3 linked regions of the Saccharomyces cerevisiae S288C genome follow. Changing the gene in region 3 together with the main gene of any one other region gives a genetic interaction. Each region holds a gene or a part of one and is shown on either strand. Other genes may lie near its edges.

Region 1 (2,501 bases), on a different chromosome or scaffold from region 3:
TATACTTTCGTTGTGCTAGTGGTGGCGTGATGCAAGAAGCTGATACATACCTGAAAATGAAAGAGGACGTAGCTATACGGTGTTTGTGGACGAGTTCACATACAGTACTGAAAAAGATGAGGATGGGCTGAGATAAAGTTTGAATGATAATGAATATTATTACATCTTCTTTCATTTTATATACCGTCATTCATTATCCCATGAAATTATCAAGCCTCGCGTTTCAACCTCTACTAAAATCGTTGACTGTTTCTCAATATTTATGTCTTTCTTACGTTGTATACGATAATATACACGTACTATGGATACTAGTCGATATATGATAGTTAATTCTCATTCCAATAAAAGTCGACACTACCGCTACCACCTAAAGTTATACTGTTTTTATGCGTGCGTACGCAACAGTTCATCAGAAAAATGTCTATCGTCAGAATCATCCCTCTGACATTTCAATTCCAAAAAGATTGCTCTATCTTTGGAAAGTGGCTAAACCTAGGAGTATTATAAAACTCACAAGTTCTTAGAACTTGCTTCGAGAGATCATAACAGGACAAGTATAATACGAGACGGAATAAGATTATCATACCAAAGATACAAAATAAAACAATTGGTAGTCTAAGGTGACAAAATTAACTGAAGCTGTAGCTAGCAATAAAAAAAAGATTCAAGATGTTCAGGGAGTGACGTATATTCCAATGCTTCCAATACAGCAGGCTTCAAGATTGTTGCTTCACTTTCAGGGCGGTGATTTGAAAGCAAACTCCCAAATTTACACTTAATTCTTCTCCTGAGCTGTTCAATGCAAAATGCACAAATTGTTATTTCCCATATAATAATTCCAGTTGACAGCACTATATCTAAAGGTTTCCGTATAATGATGATTTACCGCGTAGTATCATATAAGGGAGTAACAACAGCATTAATTATCGTGCCATTACTAAAAATAACTTAAGCATCAAGCGTAAATTATTGAACTCCAAACTCTATCAAACACTTAAAATAAACCAATATTGAAGAAAATTCGCAATATGTTGTAAAGATTCTGCTGACTAGAAATGGCAGGTAGGATTTTTTTTTTCTATCTAAAATGGTAAGATGAGCATTTTTTACTTGGAACGAGTGTAAAAACAGCAAGGTTACAGCCACATAATTCTCTAATAATACTGATGGAAAGCCGTCTTATTCGGAAGCTGTGAGTATTTTTTTCGTTGATTTGTTGCCAAAAAAATCCATGCAGAAGTGTACTCACTGGTTTTCATTTACCTTTTCAGCAGCACACCTGCCTGCCCCTTATTTTTAACGATTTCTTTCCATTTAGCGTAACTGCTGCCTCGGATTATTATGGTGTTTTTCCACCAGCTCTGCTTAAAGCGTAGAGTTCGCTTGTCTTCTCCCTCCCATCAACAGGAATTTTATTGATCGCGTAATTTCCTACCGACAGTTTGCAGAATGCCAGGTCAGACAGATTAAATATTAAATGAATAGCCCCATAGAATAAGTACTATATATACGCTGCTAGTTTCTTTGTTTTGTCGAGTTTGGGACCAAACCAATACCATTTGTGGAATCACTGCACATATGCAATACTGTGAACTCGATTTATCAGGGCAGTGGCTGGATACAGTATATTGTGAAGAGAATTTCTCCGACTTTGTCTTTATAAAGTTTCTAAATCCTTCACAGTTTGAAGAGAAGATATATTGTTATACTTTACATATCACCAAAAGGACACTAGAAAATAAGAGATTACTTTTGTATTATGAAGATGAATTCAAAAAACATGGTCACGATATTAATGAGCTTGTTGGCGACGGTATAATCTTGCGTTCATGCTGGAACCCTCGACAGTAATCAGACCGAGATTCATGCGTATGCTAGCTCTGTTGTCGACTCAGTAAACTTACAGCAAACCAATGGTACTATCAATCTAATCATAACTGAATTCAATGGTACTACCATTGGCTTTGATACAAACGTTACCAAAATTAATATTCTTGACGCCGACTTTTCTTTTCTTCGCCAACAAGTCAACCAAGAAATGCTAAAAAGAGGAAAAGGGTGTCTTAACGCAAGGTATCGTATCTCGACTGGAGGTTGTACTGATTGCGGTAAATCGCTCGGCTATTCATCTGCACACAATTGCGGTGGAAAGGGCTATTCATGCATTAAAACGTGCACAGAGAAGAATGGTCATGTTTGCTGTGAAGAGTGGTGTGGATCCAAACGCGCTGTCCAAAAAGAGGGATTTGAGAGTGGATGCTGCTTTAATAATCAATGTTACGGTGGCCATGACCACCATGATGAGCTTTAAATAATAAAGTTTAGGTAATATATATAAAGTGGGATAGTATACAAGCAAGAACGTATTAAAATAAAAGCTGGAAAAAAAAGTCACCAAAGCACGCATCTATGTGATGGCTTATTCAATCTTATATAAAGAAGAGCAATAATCTTGGGCTATTTTTGACTGAGAAAACTCTGTTGTTGGCCATTTTTAGAAA
Region 2 (2,958 bases), on a different chromosome or scaffold from region 3:
AGAGACTAACGAAGGGCTTTCATAACGACATTTTACAGTTATTGATAAAAGAATGCTTTTACGACAGCAGAACCTATTGGTTTGAAGAAGATAGAGGTCTAGTAGTATATTGTTGCTTTAATGATTCAAACTCTTAACAATGTGGGCAAATATGCGTATGATTTCGTTCTGGGAAAGGATAGTAAGAAGCCTTTTTGATTACAAAACCGTGAAAGACGGTTTAGCAGCTTTTACAGGAAACCTGCTTTACCTTAGCCAGTGTTTTCTCATCTTCAAAAAAAAGTATTGTACGCAACTCTTCCATCTAGCAGAGCTCCCGCTCTTTTTCAAACAAGTTTCATTATATTTATTCTTAATAATTTTGGTATCATCGAGGTGAGGTCTTCGTTGTTTCAACACCAGCTATTTTTCAGCGGCTTACAATTACGTAGTTCTATTAACGAATACACTGGGAGGTGAGTATAATCATGGACTGTAACACTATACGACTCCAACACGTTATATGTATCAGTTATATATATATATTATATTATTTTGGGAAGAGTAGCATTGCTTTTGAAAGTACACGGGGTTTACTTTGGCTCATAGAATGGGTCTGGATATGAAATTCTGAAATATTCAGATTTTGGAGTACTGAAAATATTTAGCAAGAATTTCAAATATTAGTTAGTAAACCAAACCAAGGCATCTGAACTTGAACCTCCATAACTCGCTTTCTAACATAATGAGCTTGTATGACATAATATTATAGAACTCGAGGTTAACCTTTAAATATAAATATAGTAATCTTCATGATAATAATTTCAGGGTAGTGCGCGTATTTGTCGAAAAAACGCAAAATGACAGAAATTCTATGTTTACTGACTTTAGATTTTGTTTTAGATCAATTGGCGGAAAAAGGACGCAGTCTGTAACTTTGATTGGCATCTTGATTTGATTTGTTGGGTGGTTCTCTTACAATCAATGGTTTATTTCATGGAAAGCTTGATGACATGTGATAGCACACCATGCTAATTAGTGAAAAGAGTCCTTGTTGACTTACCACATGTGCAGCCGCCTTTTACCGTGGTGCGAAGCATATTGAGCGGCCTGGAGACCAAGAATGTCAGGGCCTTTAAACAATAGAAGAAGTGTATAGGAAAAAACTAAGGTGTTTTGAGATATTTTTTATAAAAGTAGTATTTCTTAAAAATCAGCGGGGAGCCATTCTTTGAAGGCGCGCTTGCAAATTTTAGGTATTGGGCTTGATTATTTTGGCAAGTGTCATGCATTGTAACAAATCTATATAAAGTGACAATTCTGGAACACTGTATCGTAATCCCAAATAATGTATGTAGAATAGAAAAAAATATATGAAAAAATGAATAGATCATACACAGACGACATGAATAGCAGCCCTCCAAATTACTTGACAACAAGGACGTTTAGAATCGTTAGATTGTTTGCAATAATTTTTGCACTGCTTTTGGTAGCGTACTCATTATTTTTAAGCACACTTAGAACTGGAGCTATACCTGACCGCGCCAACACTGCTGCTCTAGTACGGCGAGCTAGGTGATCATTTGCGACTGGATTAGGACTAGGAGGATTTTTAATTGCTGCAGCCGCTTATGCTACTCCTTACTGGGTCGCAGCAACCTGTATCGCATCCACTAGCGGAATATGTTCACCTATAGCTGGTGCTGTTTTAGCAACTTCAGCAGTTATAGTTGCAGCAGTTTTAGTGGGAAAGAGTTCTGGCTCAGCAACAAAGCGAGGGTTAAGTGAGACTATTAATGTACTGAATCATACTATAACACTCACTGATCATGTGCTCAATGGGCAAACATTGTCTAATGGTACTGGTAGTAATTTTGTTACAATAGAGTTTAGTGGGTATGCAGTACATGACACTATTAAACGTGACGGTGCTGCTGAGATCAACTTTGTGGGGTATACTACGGAGCATGGAACCCACATCAGCACGAGTAGCGTACATAATGTGAGCATGCTCATCGATCAAATCGTGGCAGCGGTACCAGGGGTACCTGATATAAGTGGCAACGCTTCGGCCCTATCGTTACAGAGACGCAGTCAAGAGTTCGCCACCTCATGGATATCAATGACATATAGTCAGAGTTATGGTGACCTGGCACAGAACTGGCAGAATGACGAAGGTGGAGCAGGAAATTTTGATTCTTATGCTGAAGAGAAGTTACAGAATTTCTTTTCAGGTAATAGGGATTGGAAATACTGCTTTGCTGCTGAGGACACGAAAAACGGTGAGCCACTTGATTACGATGACATACCTGGTGACGGTGCAGGCACGGGTTCGGCATTCAAGTCTGAGATATATTTTAACACTTACGGTGGTATAGATAATTATTGTAATGACGAGCATATCGGTGCTCAGAACACTGGAGATGGTCGATAAAGCTTTACGCCTGTCGCTGAATTGACTGACCCGAAATTAAGAACTGTTGACGTAGTGAATTACGATCTAGTTTATATGTCATAATGTAGTAAGTTTATTGGACCCTTCTATATGTTATGTAAATGTAATAATTACATAGTTACTGCTTTTGTACATAGAAACTATAGTTTCTTAAGTACTACCGGATTAGAGGTTTGCTACTATATGTTTTCCTTGTCTCAAGCATTACTGAAACAACTCTGAAACAATACTAAAACATTACTCATATCATGCTTTTGGGTTACCACATTCAACAATAACTCGAATACATTTATAAAAAAAACAAAACTAAGGTACAAAACACACACCACACCACATACGCGCTGATTGGTTTTATGGAAGCTAATAGTTCAGACATAGCTCAGAAAAATAATAATAAGTATTATCAAATATAACTCATCTGGTTACATGCTAAGTTCTTGTCAAGTGATATAGCGTTATCTTTATTATTGAATTAAATTCTATAATTAGAATTCGACTACACCAACTAATGACTCTAAAAAATA
Region 3 (3,196 bases):
CACCTTACTGAATACGTCATCAGTTAATGATCAAACGAAAAACCTAATATTCATACCTCACACATGCAACGATTCTACCAAGAGCTTCAAAAAATGGATGCAAGAAAAGGCAAAAAATTTTGAGAAGACCGAGTTAAAGAAGACGGATGATAGCGCAGTTCAAGATGTTCGTAATGAACATGCTGACCAAACCGATGAAAAAAATAGTATATTATTAAATGAAACTGAAACCAAAGAGCCTCCGTTGAAAGAAGAAAAAGAAAATAAACAATCTATAGCAGAAGAATCGAATAAGTACCCACAGCGAAAAGAGCTGGCTGCCACACCAAAACTAAACCATCCAGTATTAGCTACTTTTGCAAGGCAAGAAACTGAAGAAGTGCCGGATGATTTGTGCACTTTGAAAACAAAGTCACGTCAGGCATTTGAAATCAAAGCAAGTGGTGCACATCAATCTAATGATGTGGCAACCTCTTTTGGCAATGGTTTGGGCCCAACAAGAGCAAGCGTCATGAGTAAGAACATGAAGTCATTAAGTAGACTAATGGTTGATAGAAAGCTGGGAGTAAAGCAGACAAATGGAAATAACAAAAATTATACAGCCACTATAGCAACTACTGCTGAAACATCAAAGGAAAATAGACACAGATTAGATTTTAATGCTTTGAAAAAAGACGAAGCCCCTTCGAAAGAGACGGGCAAAGATAGTGCTGTACACTTAGAAACTAATAGAAAGCCCCAGAATTTCCCTAAGGTAGCTACCAAATCAGTCTCCGCAGACTCCAAAGTTCATAATGACATCAAGATAACAACCACAGAATCTCCAACAGCATCGAAGAAATCAACTTCCACAAACGTCACCTTACATTTTAACGCACAGACAGCACAGACAGCACAGCCGGTGAAGAAAGAAACGGTAAAAAATTCCGGATACTGTGAAAATTGTCGTGTAAAATACGAATCTTTAGAACAACACATAGTTTCTGAGAAGCATTTGTCTTTCGCTGAAAACGATTTAAATTTTGAGGCTATTGACTCGTTAATTGAAAATCTCAGATTTCAAATATAGGGACACGACGTAAAGTGCAGTAGCTTTTAGTGATAAAATCAAAATAGTATTGTTCCGTTTCCATTGCTGCTCGGAACAAAAAAGCTATCAACGGCAATGTTATTGAATCACTTTCTCATTCACCCTTGTTACTTTCTTGCTATTGACTTAACTCTTATTTACTCGTCCATATATTATCAATTGCATATATATACATATACATATATATATTATCATCTAGATTAATTACCGTTCATATCATAACTCATTCTGAACAAATAATGATCGAGTACCCACCGCGGTTAATGTCCCAGTTTTCATTTTTACCCGATATCCTGCAGAGACCGAGAGGCATGAAAAAAAAAAAGCTAGTTCTCAACTGCATTAATTGCAGCTCGTATTCATGGTTCAACATAAAAGAACTTACGCTACAGCATTCCATTTGAATAACTCAGAGTATTAGTAAAAGAAATGTGTGAAGAGAATGTTCATGTTAGTGAAGATGTTGCTGGCAGTCACGGTTCTTTTACGAATGCCAGACCTAGGTTAATTGTACTAATAAGGCATGGGGAAAGCGAATCAAATAAAAACAAGGAGGTCAATGGTTATATTCCTAACCATCTGATTTCTTTAACGAAAACAGGTCAAATCCAAGCTAGACAAGCTGGTATTGACTTATTACGTGTTTTAAACGTAGACGATCACAACTTGGTGGAGGATTTGGCTAAGAAGTATATTAAAGATGAAAGTAGCAGGAGAACTTTACCGCTGAAGGACTATACCAGGCTGAGTAGAGAAAAAGACACAAACATAGTTTTTTATACATCACCCTATAGAAGAGCAAGGGAAACATTGAAAGGTATTTTGGACGTCATCGATGAATATAATGAATTAAACAGTGGTGTTCGTATATGTGAAGATATGAGATATGATCCACATGGTAAACAGAAACATGCATTTTGGCCGAGAGGACTTAATAATACTGGTGGTGTTTACGAAAATAATGAAGATAATATTTGTGAAGGGAAGCCTGGAAAATGTTATCTGCAATATCGGGTTAAGGATGAGCCAAGAATAAGGGAACAAGATTTTGGTAATTTCCAAAAAATCAATAGCATGCAGGACGTTATGAAGAAGAGATCTACGTATGGTCATTTCTTCTTCAGATTCCCTCATGGAGAAAGTGCGGCAGATGTATATGACAGAGTCGCCAGTTTCCAAGAGACTTTATTCAGGCACTTCCATGATAGGCAAGAGAGAAGACCCAGAGATGTTGTTGTCCTAGTTACACATGGTATTTATTCCAGAGTATTCCTGATGAAATGGTTTAGATGGACATACGAAGAGTTTGAATCGTTTACCAATGTTCCTAACGGGAGCGTAATGGTGATGGAACTGGACGAATCCATCAATAGATACGTCCTGAGGACCGTGCTACCCAAATGGACTGATTGTGAGGGAGACCTAACTACATAGTGTTTAAAGATTACGGATATTTAACTTACTTAGAATAATGCCATTTTTTTGAGTTATAATAATCCTACGTTAGTGTGAGCGGGATTTAAACTGTGAGGACCTTAATACATTCAGACACTTCTGCGGTATCACCCTACTTATTCCCTTCGAGATTATATCTAGGAACCCATCAGGTTGGTGGAAGATTACCCGTTCTAAGACTTTTCAGCTTCCTCTATTGATGTTACACCTGGACACCCCTTTTCTGGCATCCAGTTTTTAATCTTCAGTGGCATGTGAGATTCTCCGAAATTAATTAAAGCAATCACACAATTCTCTCGGATACCACCTCGGTTGAAACTGACAGGTGGTTTGTTACGCATGCTAATGCAAAGGAGCCTATATACCTTTGGCTCGGCTGCTGTAACAGGGAATATAAAGGGCAGCATAATTTAGGAGTTTAGTGAACTTGCAACATTTACTATTTTCCCTTCTTACGTAAATATTTTTCTTTTTAATTCTAAATCAATCTTTTTCAATTTTTTGTTTGTATTCTTTTCTTGCTTAAATCTATAACTACAAAAAACACATACATAAACTAAAAATGGCTAGAACTTTCTTTGTCGGTGGTAACTTTAAATTAAACGGTTCCAAACAATCCATTAAGGAAATTGTTGAAAGATTGAACACTGC

The links.
Region 1: mutations in DET1 (region 3) and YOL159C-A together harm fitness more than expected from each alone (negative genetic interaction), as found in Saccharomyces cerevisiae (one large-scale study listed by BioGRID).
Region 2: mutations in DET1 (region 3) and YER187W together harm fitness more than expected from each alone (negative genetic interaction), as found in Saccharomyces cerevisiae (one large-scale study listed by BioGRID).

Annotation. Positions count from the first base shown.
Region 1 is NC_001147.6:14,583-17,083, reverse strand, and holds YOL159C-A (uncharacterized protein), read left to right. Parts: upstream 1-1,578; coding exon 1,579-1,851; downstream 1,852-2,501. Other genes in the region: YOL160W (uncharacterized protein), read right to left, coding at 2,430-2,501.
Region 2 is NC_001137.3:564,243-567,200, forward strand, and holds YER187W (uncharacterized protein), read left to right. Parts: upstream 1-1,987; coding exon 1,988-2,413; downstream 2,414-2,958.
Region 3 is NC_001136.10:556,384-559,579, reverse strand, and holds DET1 (acid phosphatase DET1), read left to right. Parts: upstream 1-1,519; coding exon 1,520-2,524; downstream 2,525-3,196. Other genes in the region: protein serine/threonine kinase activating protein DBF4, read left to right, coding at 1-1,069; triose-phosphate isomerase TPI1, read left to right, coding at 3,108-3,196. UniProt on the Saccharomyces cerevisiae protein: Metal-independent, broad-range acid phosphatase. Involved, either directly or indirectly, in the bidirectional transport of sterols between the endoplasmic reticulum and the plasma membrane.